Drosophila melanogaster: one gene and its partners. The protein of the gene in region 1 purifies or fractionates together with the protein of each later gene. This does not show direct contact. Each region holds a gene or a part of one and is shown on either strand. Other genes may lie near its edges.

The links.
Region 2: the proteins of PlexA (region 1) and Sema5c purify together in Drosophila melanogaster (affinity purification with western blotting; one study listed by BioGRID). This does not show direct contact.
Region 3: the proteins of PlexA (region 1) and Ras64B purify together in Drosophila melanogaster (affinity purification with western blotting, with the first as the bait; one study listed by BioGRID). This does not show direct contact.

What each region holds. Positions count from the first base shown.
Region 1 is NC_004353.4:1,022,948-1,029,482, forward strand, and holds the start of PlexA (plexin A), read right to left. Parts: upstream 4,155-6,535; 5' UTR 4,016-4,154; exon of another isoform or gene 3,823-4,015; intron 3,589-3,822; exon of another isoform or gene 3,269-3,588; intron 734-3,268; 5' UTR 525-733; coding exon 1-524. Other genes in the region: mitochondrial inner membrane protein MPV17, read right to left, coding at 5,796-6,302.
Region 2 is NT_037436.4:12,078,831-12,083,769, reverse strand, and holds the start of Sema5c (semaphorin 5c), read left to right. Parts: upstream 1-1,939; 5' UTR 1,940-2,418; coding exon 2,419-2,423; intron 2,424-2,811; coding exon 2,812-2,975; intron 2,976-3,729; coding exon 3,730-3,829; intron 3,830-4,939. UniProt on the Drosophila melanogaster protein: Regulates the motility of migrating epithelial cells by providing guidance cues within the migratory environment and may also play a role in development of the olfactory system. May act as a positive axonal guidance cue.
Region 3 is NT_037436.4:4,137,215-4,141,898, reverse strand, and holds Ras64B (Ras oncogene at 64B), read right to left. Parts: upstream 2,824-4,684; 5' UTR 2,721-2,823; coding exon 2,640-2,720; intron 1,993-2,639; coding exon 1,905-1,992; intron 1,849-1,904; coding exon 1,439-1,848; 3' UTR 501-1,438; downstream 1-500. Other genes in the region: Akh (adipokinetic hormone), read right to left, coding at 6-176, 245-313; Rop (Ras opposite), read left to right, coding at 3,085-4,684. UniProt on the Drosophila melanogaster protein: May be involved in endocytic processes and/or other transport pathways mediated by vesicle trafficking. May interact functionally with ROP protein. Ras proteins bind GDP/GTP and possess intrinsic GTPase activity.

The DNA of each region.
Region 1 (6,535 bases):
ACTTCATGCTCAATTATGCTGACATTTTGAAGATTACGAACTGTGCATGTACCTTGAAATAGTGATCCACACGCAATAAGTCTTGAAGTTGCACGATCAATGAGCAAGACCTTATTATAATTGTCCGTCGGACTGCGAACTGCATTTAATGGACAATCAAGAATGCTACACTCGACGGAATCATTTTGAGGCCCCGTTTTCACAGTTTCGGAAAGCTCCAAATCAGGCGACAACTGATACAACCTGTTAACACCACCAACGAAGACTCGTCCAGTAATGGTGTCCACTAATAGGTGATTCAATTTGGTGTCAAACGCAGCTACATTTGTAATCGTAGAATTCAGATTCTTTGCATTCTTTATCGGTGCATTTGCATTAGTCAAATTTATCGGCTCATTTTGCGCAGTCGTCTTGTCAGACCATATATTTGCTGCCAGGGTTTGACAACCTGTCCTCGATGGCAGCCAGTAATCATACTTATCTTTAAGAATTGCTATTAACAACACACTAAGAACAAAATTCATCTCCACAATCGCTCCTTAAACAGGACTATCAAAGCTACCTTATTTATGAAATTGTTACTTGTAGGCGCTTGTATGTCCCTTATTTATTTGAAATTTTACGTAAATATTAAAATTTCCTTTGCGTTGGTGTCATTCTTGCAATTTTTATTATCCGTTCCATTCAAGATAATTTAACTTGGAGCAATAACTTGTATGACCATCATGTAAACCTGAAAAAACAATAAGGAAAGTAGTTATATATATATATATATATATATATATATATATATATACCCGTTACTCGTAGAGTAAAGGGTATACTAGATTCGTTGATAATTATTTAACTGGCAGAAGTAGGCGTTTCCGACCATATAAAGAAAATATATTCTTGATCAGGATCAATAGCCGAGTCGATCTGGCCATGTACGAATGAACGCAAGGTTAAACTTCGCTAAAACCTACAGAAACTGTCCAGTCTCCAAATGGCTTAATATCCTTTGGACTGATGAGTCAAAAATATGAACTGGAACTGGTTCACGACAGTATGTCCAACGACCTCCAAAGACCGAGTACAACCCAAGCCACACACTCAAGAATGTTAAGCACGGTGGACATAAATATGGTATGGGCCTGTTTTTCATACAACGGTGTGGGTCCCATACATATGATTAATGGTATGTAAATATACCTAGTGATGTTTTACTGCCATATGCTGAATGGAATATGCCCTTATAATGGACATTCCAATAGGATAATGATCCGAAACGCAGAAGCAAATCGGCTAAGAATAAGTTCACCCAAAATAGAATAGATGCAATGCCGTGGCAAGCACCATCATCCGATTTAAACCCGATTGAAAACCTGTGGGGGGACATTAAACAATACGTGTCGAAGAATTCCCCGATGTCCAAGATTCAGCTTTGGCAAGTTGTGCAGGATGCATGGGCAAAAATTCCCCCAAACGTCCTCGTGGACTCCATGCCGAGTAGGTGTAAGGCTGTGCTGGCTAAAAAAGGCAATCCAACCAGGTATTAGTCCCTAATTAACACATTAAAAAAAAACTATGTTAGTTCTAAGTCATGTTGTTACTATTTTTTCATATCACTGCTATTTCAGTGAACACCAGAATTTCTGCCTATTATGTTGTTTTAATCTATATCTATTGAAAAAATAAAAGTGAAACATATGTTGAATTGTTTGATATAATAATAAAATTATGAAAAAAATTCCCATTACAACTTTAAATCATATGATTTTTTATCCTAAACTCGCAAGTCCCAAGCACTGCTATTTTTATGAACACAGCTGTATATATCAGCTAAAAGGTTGAGATTCAGCATACAGATTCTAAAGACAAATACGGAGCGAAAGTTTGTTAACCTATGTTGCCACGCCCACTCTAACGCCCTAAAACCGCGCAAAACTGCCACGCTCACATTTTAAAACAAATTTTAAATTTTTTCTCATTTTATTCCTTAATATTGATATCCCAGAAAAATAAAGCAATTTCGCGTTCGCATTCACACTAGCTGAGTTACGGGTATCTGAGTCGGGGAACTCGACTATAGTATTCTTTCGAATTCTATTTGTGTGGATCACCAAACATTGAAATGCTGTTACATATAGATTATAAATGTATTTCGTGAACACCCAATAAATCGTAATTTTGAAAATCTTCACAGCCAAAAAAACTCAGTTTAAAAATTTAATCACGTCAAAACAAAAACTGTGGGTTGGCTGTAAGTGTACTTCCCTGAAACATGGGTAGTTTATCGCATAGTTTAAAATGATGTCGTACAAATAGTTTTGAAACTACAGTTAAGGTTAAAATAATAGCACTACTGCAGGTGGAAAATTGATATCCTAAAAAAAATTATAAATTTTTTTTTTTTTAAGCCAGATTGCATGAATAATAAGTACCATATGTTGCCTCTTTGAGCAATAAATTTTTAGTCTCTCAATTTAACGGTTCTTTTTGTTTTTGGGCACTTGCTGCAAAAGTGCGCGAAATGAGGCGGTAACAAAAATAGCACTGAAAACGTATTTGCTGAATAAAATTAATGGGAGTGATTGCTTTGGTTTTTTTTACGACAAATTTTGAAAAAAAGGTGTTGCATTAAAGGTTTTAATTGAATTTGCTCCAAACGAAGACCAAAAATTCTCTAGTCATGGGTCACGGAAAGCATTGTACCGTCGAAAAAAGAAATTTGATTAAAAACGTGATCTCTGAAGGTAAAACCTACGCTGAAATTGGTCGCATTGTCGGTTGTTCAAACAAAATGATCCGCAAATCACTGCTGTTTGTCGAAAAGAACGAAACGCGGCGAGGAAAGCCTTCAATGTCCAACTTGGATGCTCTCCAAGCATCCAAGCGCTTGGTTCGGCAAAGCAAGAACCCGGTGACGGAACTGAAGATGGAGCTTCAGATATACTGGCTCAACTCCTTAATATGAAAATCTCACCCAAAGCATAATTCATGAACCAACGTGCTCTACCATTTACTGTCTCCGAATAGGACTATAACCGACCAAAATATATTCCGCTACTGCCGCTAATATGTTGACCGCAACTGTACATATATATTAAACATGAATCCATATCATGCTATAAATATTAATGGAATGGAAATCCCAAGCTAAGGAGTTTCCTATGTATGCTATATAAGCATATCTCGTTTTTGCAATAAAAAATTTCCTCTACCTAACACATTAATTGTAAAACTTTGAACAAATTCAGTTCCAAACGTTCAATTTTTTTCCACTTACATATATTCGCACTCAGGCCACTTATTCCAAGCCATTTCGTTATAGAGAATTTATGTAGTTTTAAAGTATATTCACGGCTATTCCAGGATTTCAAATTTGGGCGAGCGTGCACAATATTTGGTAATTTCATTGCAAATGCATATATGCATACTGCACATACATACATACAAATTTGGCCAGCGCCCGAATTTAAATACATATAATAAACCGGTAAAATGTAAGTGCACTTAGTTTAAATGTTTTTAGGCAAAGATTATTGAGAGAAGTAAAACTCGATCTTTTGCATTTGGAATTTTTGGGATATTCTGGTGCACACACATCTATACAAAATGTATATATTTATATGCATACACATGCACATCATATACAGCAAATTTTATTTTGCTGCTATCTTTCCCAATGCATGATGCATTTAATTTCGTATGTGTGAAACGCAGCTAACAATGTATTTAAATAAGAGCCACACTTTTTAAAAATACTATTTACATAAATATAATATATACTTAAGTACATAAAACAAAATGATTGCATGGCCGTTTTTAATTTTTACATACATACAACGTTGTATACCAGTTAAAGAAAATTTGTATTTTCTTAATAATTCTAAAGCAATGCAATATACACTGGAACGTTAAATGATTTTATTACACTTTTTTTAATATTTAGCAAAAAATGACAATTTTGTATGTATATCTGAATTATGGAACGGCGATAGTTTTCTAGTGAACAATCGGAAATCCGGCTTACTGTTTGTTTTCCTATATTTCACTCATTAACTATTATTTCTTTACATCGCAAGTCACTGAACATAATTTCTGTCTATTTTCGAATTACACCACACTTTAATTTACACATCATTGTATGTAAATGTTATCGATACTATAAGGCAGAGGAGAGAATTAAACAACTAGTTGTTAGTCCTAAGACCCGTTCATACCTATCACTATCGATACCTAAATTAACCGATGGCACACTTCAAAATGTAATGTTCACGAGTACATGGAAAATGTCTTGTTGTTACTGTGTAATGACTCGTACGAAAGTAATTTGGAAGGGGTTTGATTCCCAAGCCAGATAATATTTATTATCTCTCTAATTTCCTTGAGCATTATTAAAAAATGAAATAAATATATTTAATATATTCGTTTTCTTTAATATCGATAGTGTGATGAGACTATAAAGGTCTGTTCACAATGAAAATGTAAATTGAAAAATTGGACTTAAGAATTTCATGCTAACAGCTCCTCAATCCACAGCAAATATGTGCGCAAACTGTATCAAAGCATAATTTTGTTATTTAAAATTTCATGGCACAACTTTTTTTTGTTGGCCTTTGTGCACATTTTATGACCTATTGAAATATCTTCAACTGACACCGACTGCAGATGTGCATATTTACACATCTGATTTAAAGCATTGTTGTTATGACCATGTAGTTAGAGACTTAGTTAGTTAGTAAGAAAAAAAAATAATCAATAATTTCACTGTTTTGAGGGCTGATTAGCAATAGAGATTTTTTCTAAGAAATGACATATAGATAAAAGTTAAATGAATTGAATTGCAGGGTGTTTATTTGCACATGTACACATGAAGTGTATTCCACTATTGGCTGCTTACATTCTCAGCTTCGTGCGTGCGCAGTTTGCGGTATTTTTGGCGCTACTAAGGTAAATTCTATCCATAAATCGTCTATCTCACGTTAAACAACAGGATATCAACAACTTGTGGGAAACTGTCAGAAGATACCGTTGACGCACTTTTCAAAAGTTTATTCCCCTAAATCGTAAAATAGAAATGTAGAAAGGAACAAACTTATGGAGAATTGATATTTTCGGAACTATGAACTCTAGAGAGCTCAGAGCATGTAGATTCAAGTGACGCCACATTTTTCAAGATTGTTGCAGAACGTTTGTTGTTTAACCCTACCTCCCACAATCTGCCTTAAAATGTCAGAAATAAAAGGTTTACCCGTTATTCAGATAGTGGGAACAGTGGGCGTGGCTAAAATACGTTTGGCAAATCGATAGAAACAGCCAAGAGAATTTATAAAATAAAATCGAAAAATAATTCTTAAGAGTGGGCATAACAGTTTGGGTGTGGCAAAATTTTTGTGGTATGTCAATATCATGACAGATAATTAAATGAAAACAAAATAACAACACAACGCCCACAGAAATTGTGGGCGTTAGATTGGGCGTGACGTCGTTATGATACAATCTTGCTTATCCAATTCAAATTTAAATGATCGAGTAAATATTTTGAGAAGCACATGCCCAACCGACTAATAACGGAGGGAAATAAGATTTCAAGCAAAATTTTTTGAAGTGCTTTGTAGGATTAAAACTCGAGTGCCTATAATACATGTATACTATAAATTCCATTCTATATGTACAGCCTTTCCGCCGAATACCCCTAAAAAAACGACAACCAAATCCAGTCCGAAGTCACATGTCGAGATAAGGATAATAATGTATTTGTTAAATTTGATACACAGGCACCGTATTACTTATGCGGGGAACTTAGTGCCCTAGCTATTAAGTATCATGGAGAGGTAGCAGTTCCATACGAGGGCGATGAACTGGGCGTAGAGCACCTGGTAGCCCAGCGGCACGAATCTGAAGTTTAGCATCTGTGCGGCCGGCCAGAGCATATAGTTGCGGACCAATATAGATAGGTAGCTATCAAGAATGCGCTGCCGGATTCGGTCGATGGGCTCTCCGTTGGAGAGTGGCACCAAAAAAGACATGGCCATGGTAAAGGGTGGCGCAAAAAGGGTCTGGTCGACCAGCATTTTGGTAACGCCCCGCCGCATTGGCGAGTAGGTTTTGGGAACCCGGGACTCCAAAAAATGGTACCACCGGCGCAAAGTTGGGCCAACGAACACCAGTCCAACGATGCCGAAACGGAGGGTTCGCCCCGCATCCCATTCGTCCAACGATTTCTTATCAAAAAAGAACTGGGATATAGTATCGCCCAGACACATTACCGCCGCCACATTGATGCCATCCTTTAGGTACGCTTTAAGTCTCTTCATCCTTATCAGAGATCAGTTCCATTCATAGCCCGATCCAAATTGTTTTAAATACGCAATTAAAACACAACTGAGAAATCGATTTGCTGTTGTTCGTGTAGTTTTAAAGGGTTGCCTAATAATCGCAAAGTGATTGGTGTCAATTGCTGAAGTGACAAAAATTGGCAACTCTGAATAATTATTTAAATTAAATTATGCTAGCGTATTCAACTTTTTAACGCGCGTGAGTCCTTTTA
Region 2 (4,939 bases), on another chromosome or scaffold:
CGGTAGCCAGGCCAGCAAAGATAGCCAAGATCTTTCCATATTAACAAAAGAAGATATAACTACTAGACCTACCTGACGGAACCAGCCGATGCCACATTAACATTACAATTGTCGGTCGGAAAGTTAAGCCGTAAATTATCGGGGTTCTCGGGGAAGTGGTTTCGTCTATCGGTATCACTACCAACAAAATTAGCATATTTGGCCACTGTGTCTTTTCGGCCAAGACAAGAAACGCAGGCCGCGTCGACAATGGTTTAGGTAGCCGTAAATTGTCATGGGCTGGCAATGTTTTGGGCCTATGCTAATGTCGATCGTTGTCTGCCCACACTCAACTTTAACTCCCGGATCGAATTGAAACGGATTGGACGGATGGCATCGGTCCTCATGTTTGTGTATCCCTTGGGTTCGTGCTGTGGCATAAACAAAATCCGAGGATCGTGTTGCAGTTGCATTCAAGTTGAGGTTACTGCACCTTCGGGACGGTCCATTTGATGGTTTCGTATTTGTTCTCAGCGACCAGCTGTGTTTTCACACTTACTCTGGGAGTCAAGGCTGACAAAGATCTGAATAGTACAGCCTGGGATGTCTGCAGTAAAAGGAAAACCTTGGAAGGAACACTAAAAAAATAGAACAAAGCCCCACCAGGTGAATGAGCAAAACTAATCCCGTGAAAATGCGTCATATCTGTTGTTGTTCCTTAAATAAGAACTTTATGGTGTTGGACTTGAGATGAGTGATTCAGGTACTGTAAACTGTTGTACAAAGCATTAAAACACCGTTTATACTTCATTATGATAAAGAAATAATTAAATAAGTGATAAATCATTCCTTTTGTATCAAAAATATACTATACTATCTATCTGTATAGAATGAGAAAATCTATTAAATCATTTGTTTTGGCGCCATTTCTATGATTTGCTAATCGAGTATCTTTGCTGATGGGCAAAAACGTCGCAAGGCGGAAAAGATAGGATCTGTTGATCCCTCGTCTGGAGGAATATATCACGTGTCCTCGAACCGCGACGTCGGCAATACTAATGTCAATTTGTCAGGCTACCAAATCGAAGCACAGCAAGTGCCCGTCCCACCCTCCAAGTGGCTTCTCTATACCTCTTCGCGGAGCTGCACATCCCGATCCCGATCCCGGAGATTCAGATTCTGATTCTGAAGAGTCGTTCTCGTTGTCGTTGTCGCATGATATATGAGCGCCCTGCCCAGTTGCTGCTTCGGCTGCCGTAGCCGCGCCTCTTAACTCCCAAGCAGACACTGAGAGAAATTCGTACTTACTTTTGTGGGATGACTTGAAAAATAAATTTGGATTGCTATTACTATCTAAGAGACTTGCCCTTAAATTATTCGATTTAACAAACAGTTCAGTTAAAATAATAAATTACAAAGATGAAAATAAGGTCTTTTAATTATTTTATTATTATTTTTTATTTTTATTTTTACAGTTGAATTATATTATATATAGTTTTTAATTCATTGGATTATTTCATAGGTAAGGACCTCAAAACTATGCTACACTTCTGTGTACTTATAAATTTTATGAATTAAGGCTTGAAAAGTCTTTAACATTTAAGATACTAGCAGAAAATCATTAAAAACGAATACACATAATTCTGAAAAATATTTCTTGAATAAATTATGTAAAATATATTTTCGTTTTTAAATTTTGAATCAAAGGAAAGCGAATTTTAAATATTTTTTTCCTTGTTGTATTGCACATTTTTTCCGAGTGCATTCTTCAAGCCGAAATTGAGCCGGTTATCTTCGTCGGCGTTTTAGCCTGTTCTCTCTTGTTTGCCTCGGCGTTTTTTTTTTGTTTTGCGTTCGTGCTTCGTTTTCACGTTTTTGTTTTCGTTCCATTCGCTTCTCTGTCTCACTCTCTTCTCTCTCTATCGACTGACTATGGATCCGAATCCGAATCCATGGTGGGTTCAGTTTCTTGCGACTCTTTGCGCGGTCAACTTCGCCGATCGGTCGGGCATGCGCGTCCGTATAACTCGTATCTGAATAATCATAAGAGTAGGAAATCGAGGCAGAAGTAAAAACCCGTCTCGCTATATTCGTCGACCGTGTTGTTGGTGTCTATCTGTGTCTTTTGTCAATGTTTTTAACCCAACTCCACTTGAGGGGGAGCCAATCCGCCTTTCTTCTGAAAATTTCTTTCAAATAATACGAAAATCGTATGGAAAATTGAAAAATTGTGAGTGTTGTGTGCAAAGTGAACCACGGTGATCGTAGTTACGGTCAGATCATCTGAAGAATCAGAAACACGCGCCTTGCTCGATTCCCCTGCTTATCAGGCACATGCCTATATTATACAATTTACCAACAGTCTTTTACAATCTGTTCGCCGCAAAAGTTGAATGGAATAAATTTTAGTCTTTTATTTTGCACGAAACGTGACACTAAATGAAGTAAGTTTCGACTATCTCATCTGTATAATCGACGTTTTTTGCTGTTTACAATTTTTGTAATATTTTTTGAGGAAGTGTAAAGTGCTGCAACAAAAACTTATTACTAATCTTCAGGACAGATTAAGGGGTTTCTGTTAAATAGTGAAACATAATTCAAAATGAAATATAATTTAAACTTATTTAAAAGCTAGTGTTTAAGGAATTATTGAAGACAATTTTAATTTAAAAAATTTAAGAACTGTTATTTCTGAGTTGAAAAGAGGATAAATAACATTTAAGAAGAAATTGAGTTAGCGTTTGTTGAACGTCGATAATTAGTTAAAAATGTATGAAAAACTATATTATATCCACAACACACATTACAACTTCATTTCTTTTCTTTTTGCAGCATGTTAATACTGAAACTTCCCAAAATGTTTAGCCAACTGTGGCTTCTTCTGATTCTATCGCTCTTAACCCTAGAAGGCCCACAGCCTTCGACGGGCAGTGGTTATACGACAAAATCAAGTGTGGATTTGCTGGAAAACGATTCGCGATACATCTCATATCAAGGTGAGTTCTCGAGGTGGGCGGATTATCAAAAATTACTCGAAACTGTGTCAATTGCACGGCAATCAATCAAGTTGGCCACTTGAAGCGGTGGAACTGTAAATTGGGTTGATGTCTGTCAAAGTTCTAAGTGATTCCGAGAGTCTGCTGCAATCGATTGCACAAATGTTCGGTTCGATCGAACAGGTGCCATTTCGAATACAACGAATACACCCATCTGCCCAACTGTTTGTATTTGCACGGAATGTCAACAATGATCTCGATTTAACCGAGTTCCCCAACAAACCGCTTTTATGACACCCCAATACATTCGTGTATCTGCTGCTTTTAATCAGAAAAAGTTTCGCATTTTGTTAAAATATTTGTTCTTTTTTTGTGATTTTTGCACTGAAATGTATCTCGAAGTCCGTCTTAAAATGCGAACTCAGCCCAACGTTGTGTTGACAATGATTTTAATTTTTGTTTAGCGCTTTTTTATTTTATTTCGCACTTAAATATTGAAAAGTATATGTTTTACCAATGAATCAGTGAATCTTTTAAAAACCTTGAAAAATATGGGTTAAATAAAATTGAGCTTAATTGTGCCAAGATGCCAAAATGTTTTAATAAATTTGCAATATAATTGCTGAGATAATAATTGCTTATATAATAATTGCTAATATAATTGCTAATAAAACTTCAATTAAATTGCTTAGTATTTGTTTTTACGATTTTGTGCAATCTTTTTCTTACAAAAATGTTTTTATTTTCTTAACAGATTTAATGTCGACGGCCAAACGATTTTACGATCCCGAAACGACCTGGTATTCGGAAATGCTATTCGACGTGGCCAGGAACCAAGTGATTGTCGGCGCCAGGTAAAAACCGGGAGGCTATTGTTATTAGTTATTATAGATTTTGTTTCCGGCCAATTGAGTCACGGCTAAGCCGTGTACCTAGTCATTATGACTGTTTTTATTTTTCCTGTTGCGTCAAAACCCCAAAGATATGTACTGTTTGAAGGACTTGCTTTTTAATTAGTCTCACCGATAAGTGGGTCATTATTTTGGGCATTGATAGCGATAAGAAATGAAAAGGGAAAACACCCCCGAAAATAAATCGTCACTTAAGCATTTGTTAACTTTGGGTTATCAGCAGAGAGGCATTACGTAAAATTCGACGATCAGAAGAAAATAAACAGATGCATTGCGTACGTAAAACGGGTACTGATTATATTCGTCTTCTGTGTTTTTTTAGCGTATTACGCAAGTTACAAAAAAATACACAAAAGTGTATAAAAATGAAAGTGCACGCACTGGTATACCAAAGATTTTTTACATATCAACCAAGATCGACCAAAAACAAAAAAAACCCCTCGTCGAGAACTTATCTCAAGTACCTGCTGTGCGCAAGTGAATAAATAAAGATAATTGAGTGTAAAAAAAAGAATAAAAAAATTAAGAAAAGAGGGAAAGGGAACAAAACCGAAAAGGTAACCAAATAATAATATTGCAGCGCCGAGGGAGAAGTGGTATACTCCGTTTATTTGTTGAGCAATTTAATATACGCGTTTCGAGATACAAAAGTATCTGTCGCTTTAGCCGGGTTACTCGGTTCTTGTAGTTTACTTTTCATTTACGCGTCTTGAAGTTTGTTTGTTTCTGCTTCGCATAGATATGGATGCGATACTACTCCACCTCTGTCGGAAAAAAAAACACGATAAGATACACACATGGACGCATGTGTCTATAGTGTCGTCATGTTGATAAACCCACCTTAACCCATTGCTGCCCGGGAAGGGAAGTCGTTTATCATGTTCCCTTGTCGTCAATCATTTGTCATACTTTTCAGTTTCAGTTTTAGTTGCCTTTTCTATTCTTTATTGCCTACGATTTTCACTTCGACCATAACTCCACTCTGCCATATTTTTTGTTGCTCTCTTATTTACCAACCTCTGAATTATGGCATAATGATAAGAGCCCGATATT
Region 3 (4,684 bases), on another chromosome or scaffold:
GCTATCTACTCGCGGTGCTTGCAGTCCAGAAAGAGCTGTGCCTGAGATTGCACGAAGCGGAAGATCTCGAGCAGCATTTCGTTGGAGGTCTTGCAGTTGCCCTGCTGTGTCTCGAAAAAGGTTCCAGGACCAGCTCCGCCCACCGAACGCTTGCCCCAATCCGGCGAGAAGGTCAACTATATAGAGGAAAATAAAATGAGACATCAGAAAGGGATATCCTGCAGCGGGATATGAATTCACTCACTTGACACTGGACGCAGGCCAGCAGCATGAAGAGCACGGCTGCAATGAGGACTTCGCTCTTGGGATTCATTCTGAGTTCTATGCTGGTCCACTTCGATTCAGCCCGCTTTTATACCCATTGAGCTCGAAGGGAAGACAGCTGGTAAGTAATTAACACAGCACTAGCAAGGATTCTTTCTATAATTGCTTGGATTGGGTCGGAATTTTCAATTCCAGTCGAGAGCGTCATTGAAACAATCTTCTATGTGGAAGCGTTTGTGATTCTCCATGTGTTTATTAGAATTGCGCATATGTTTAATTTTAAATTTAATTATATATTTATTTATATACCATTAAATAAGTTCGTTAAATTAAGCAGTGTATAAGAGTTAAAACAAGATTGCGGCTAAAGCAACTGTTGCAATACATTTGGCGAACAATAAACCATAGGATCCGGATCCGACTGGGGACATGTACAAAAGTATCGTTAAGTGAGTTGTGCGCGCCTGGCAGCTGCGGGTATAGTACAAAAATGCCGTGGGTGTAATACAGAGTTTGATGTTTTAGATTTCTACGCGCGAGAACGAGGCACTCAATTTGTTACAACAAAATCGGTTTGTAAGCAGTTAATATATGTATACGTATATATTAGTAGTAAATAACAATACAAATTACAATAACACATTATTACGTTTTGGCTTAATCGAAACAAACGTTCTGGGCTTAGTTATTGCATTATAAAAACAAATGGCCTGCGAGCCACGATTGGTAATAATCATGAAAACATTCGTCCTTAATTGTTGTCGTTGATCAACAAAATAATATTACAAAAATATATGTAGAAATATATATGTATATATAAGTTATTCGTGTGAATCTGTTGTATATATCTACCTATGTTTCGTGTTTCTGTTTGCATTTTGCATTGTTAGTTGTCAGTTGTAAGATTCTTCGTAGCTATTTGAGAGTGGCGAAGTTTATTCGATTCGTTCGTTGAATGCGCCATGCACCTGGGCAGGTAAGAAATGCACTTCGTTTGGGCTCGTTGACACGTTTTGTGCGGTTACTGGTTTCGGGTTACTGGTTTATCGTCTTCTCAACGGAATTCAAAGCTCAGTCGACGCGTGTTTTTCAAAAAATTTGGTGTTATAATCATTATATGTTGGCTCCTGCTTCCGCTGCGGCATTCAGGAGATTCTCTTCCATTTAGTTCCTTCTACATCAGGCAGCACTTCCTCTTGCCCTTCTTCTTGTAATCCTGCTCGATGAAGGGACGCTCGGCGATCTGGAACTTGCGCACGATCCTCACGAGCTCGTGGAAGGCCTGATCGACGTTGACCCTCAGTTTGGCACTGCACTCGATGTAGGGGATCATCAGGTTGCGGCTGGTGTTCTGCGCCTCCTCCAGGGACACCTGCTGCTGGTGCTTCAGGTCGCACTTGTTACCCACCATCAGCATGGGGAACTCGTCGCGATCCTTGACGCGCAGTATCTGGCGCTGGAACTTGGGGATCTCATCGAAGCTGGAATGATCGTTGAGCGCGAAGACGAGCAGGAATCCCTCGCCGGAGCGCATGTACTGCTCCCGCATGGCACTGAACTCCTCCTGGCCAGCCGTGTCCAAAACTAGGTAAAATATCAGGTTATTATGAATCTGGTAAGGGTAAAGAAAGGAAGCTTACTGTCCAATTTGGCTGGCACATCGTCGATGTTGCACTGCTTCGTGTACGAGTCTTCAATGGTGGGATCGTAGTCCGTGACGAAGTAGCTCTGCAAGATTAGGATTAAAATTATTGTACCGCCAGCTGCCGAGGCCACAAAACTACATATATAAACATTATAAGACTGGGTTTTTTATGTGGGCGGGGTGCGTTTATCATTCCGCCTTTGATTTGTTTACACACGTCACTTTTATCATTCACTATCCACTATGCTCTATATATCTTGGGGAAAAGCTACAGCATATACACGAAAGATGTGCAGATGACGCAAATGACTAAAAATAAATGGAAGCGGGCGGTCATTGTGGTCGTGACCATGGCACAAACTCTCGGGGAATCGATCGGCACACCCAGAAAACTGGGGGCTGCGTCTAACGCAACTCCCTGGTTCTGGGCTCTGACCACTTGATCCCCAATTGGAGATACACACGGGGGTGTGGCCACCGCGATGATGATGCTGCCAATGATGATGATGATGATGATTGTGTTGGTGATGATCTCGGCCCGAAACTATGCACACGCATGTCCAAACACAGACGCACATCACAGTCGCTTGTTGCTTGTTTGTTGCTCTGGCCAAAACAAGGGCCGTCCCCCTGCCACCGCCCCTGTGCGCCATCGCCCCCCACTCCCACATTCAAACGCCCCTGTGGAAAGCGACGTCACCAGGGATTGGGCCGATGCTGGGCGGCTTACCTGGATGAACTGTATCGTTATCGCTGACTTGCCCACGCCGCCGCCGCCGACGACCACCAGTTTGTACGTTTGCATCTGCATTTCCCCGTTTAAATCGACCAGTTGGCCAGCAAAATTATTTTATTTTCCTTCCTCGACAGCAGCAGCGTGACCGTTCTCGGTTAACTGAGAAATCCACACTCGCACTGAGACGGGTGCGCGTCTCTGCTAGACAGTAATATCGATATCAACTATCGCTAGCCAGCAATCGACTTTCGCCCATCACTAAGGCTAAGTCATCAAACGAAAAAAATACAGAAAAATTGGCCAAGGAATAGATAAAATTCTTTAAGTCAAGTTAGCCCACGCGAAAAAGCGAACGGAATAAGCTAAAAAGACATATTTACACGCAGTGTGTTCATAATCGAGTTGCCTTTGCGCCCGTGACCAATAAAACGCAGTGAAAATGGCCTTGAAAGTGCTGGTGGGCCAAAAGCTGATGAACGAGGTGGTGAAGTACAAGCCTCCACCACCCAAAAAGCAGGGCGTTACGTCCGCTGCGGGGGCGGGCGGCATGGAATGGCGGGTGCTGGTGGTGGACAAGCTGGGTATGCGCATGGTGTCCGCCTGCACCAAGATGCACGAAATCAGCGCCGAGGGCATCACCCTGGTTGAGGACATCAACAAGAAGCGCGAGCCGCTGCCCACGATGGACGCGATCTATCTGATTACGCCGTCGGATGAGTCAGTGCGCGGTCTGATACGAGACTTCGAGAACCCAGCGCGGCCCATGTATCGCTATGCCCATGTCTTCTTCACCGAAGTTTGTCCCGAGGAGCTATTCAACGATCTGTGCAAGTCGTGCGCGGCCGGAAAGATCAAGACGCTGAAGGAGATCAACATTGCATTTTTGCCATACGAATGCCAGGTGTTCTCGCTGGACTCGCCGGACACATTCCAATGCCTCTACTCGCCGGCCTTTGCCTCCATTCGGAGCAAGCACATCGAGCGAATTGCCGAGCAAATAGCCACACTGTGCGCTACCCTTGGGGAGTACCCAAATGTGCGCTACCGCAGCGACTGGGACAGGAACATCGATTTGGCCGCGTCGGTGCAGCAGAAGCTGGACGCCTACAAGGCCGACGATGCCACCATGGGCGAGGGCCCCGAGAAGGCACGATCCCAGCTGCTGATCCTGGATCGCGGCTTCGACTGCGTGTCGCCGCTGCTGCACGAGCTCACCCTGCAGGCCATGGCCTACGATTTGCTACCCATCGTCAATGACGTGTATCGCTACACGCCCGGCCCCAACCAGCCGGATAAGGAGGTGCTGCTCGACGAGAACGACGACTTGTGGGTGGAGCTGCGTCACGAGCATATCGCTGTGGTCTCCACCCAGGTGACTCAGAACCTTAAGAAATTCACCGACTCTAAGCGCATGGGCTCGGCTGACAAGTCGTCGATGCGCGATCTCTCGCAGATGATCAAGAAGATGCCGCAGTACCAGAAGGAGCTGTCCAAGTACTCCACCCACTTGCATTTGGCCGAGGACTGCATGAAGTCGTACCAGAACTACGTGGACAAGCTGTGCCGCGTGGAACAGGATCTGGCCATGGGCACGGACGCCGAGGGCGAAAAGATCAAGGATCATATGCGCAACATTGTGCCCATCTTGCTGGACGCCAATGTCTCGAACTACGACAAGGTTCGCATCATTGCCCTGTACGTCATGATCAAGAACGGAATTTCCGAGGAGAACCTGACCAAGCTGTTTACGCATGCCCAGCTGTCGCCGAAGGATCAGGATATGGTGCGTAACCTTAGTTGCTTGGGCATCAATGTCATTGCAGATTCGCGCAAGAAGCAGTACTCGGTGCCGCGCAAGGAGCGCACCACAGAAAGCACCTACCAGATGTCCCGCTGGACACCGGTGATCAAGGACATCATGGAGGATTGCATAGAGGATAAGCTCGATCTCCGCCACTTCCCCTTCCTCGAGGGCAGGGCCCAAAATACCAATTATCATGCCCCAACCAGTGCCCGCTACGGTCACTGGCACAAGGACA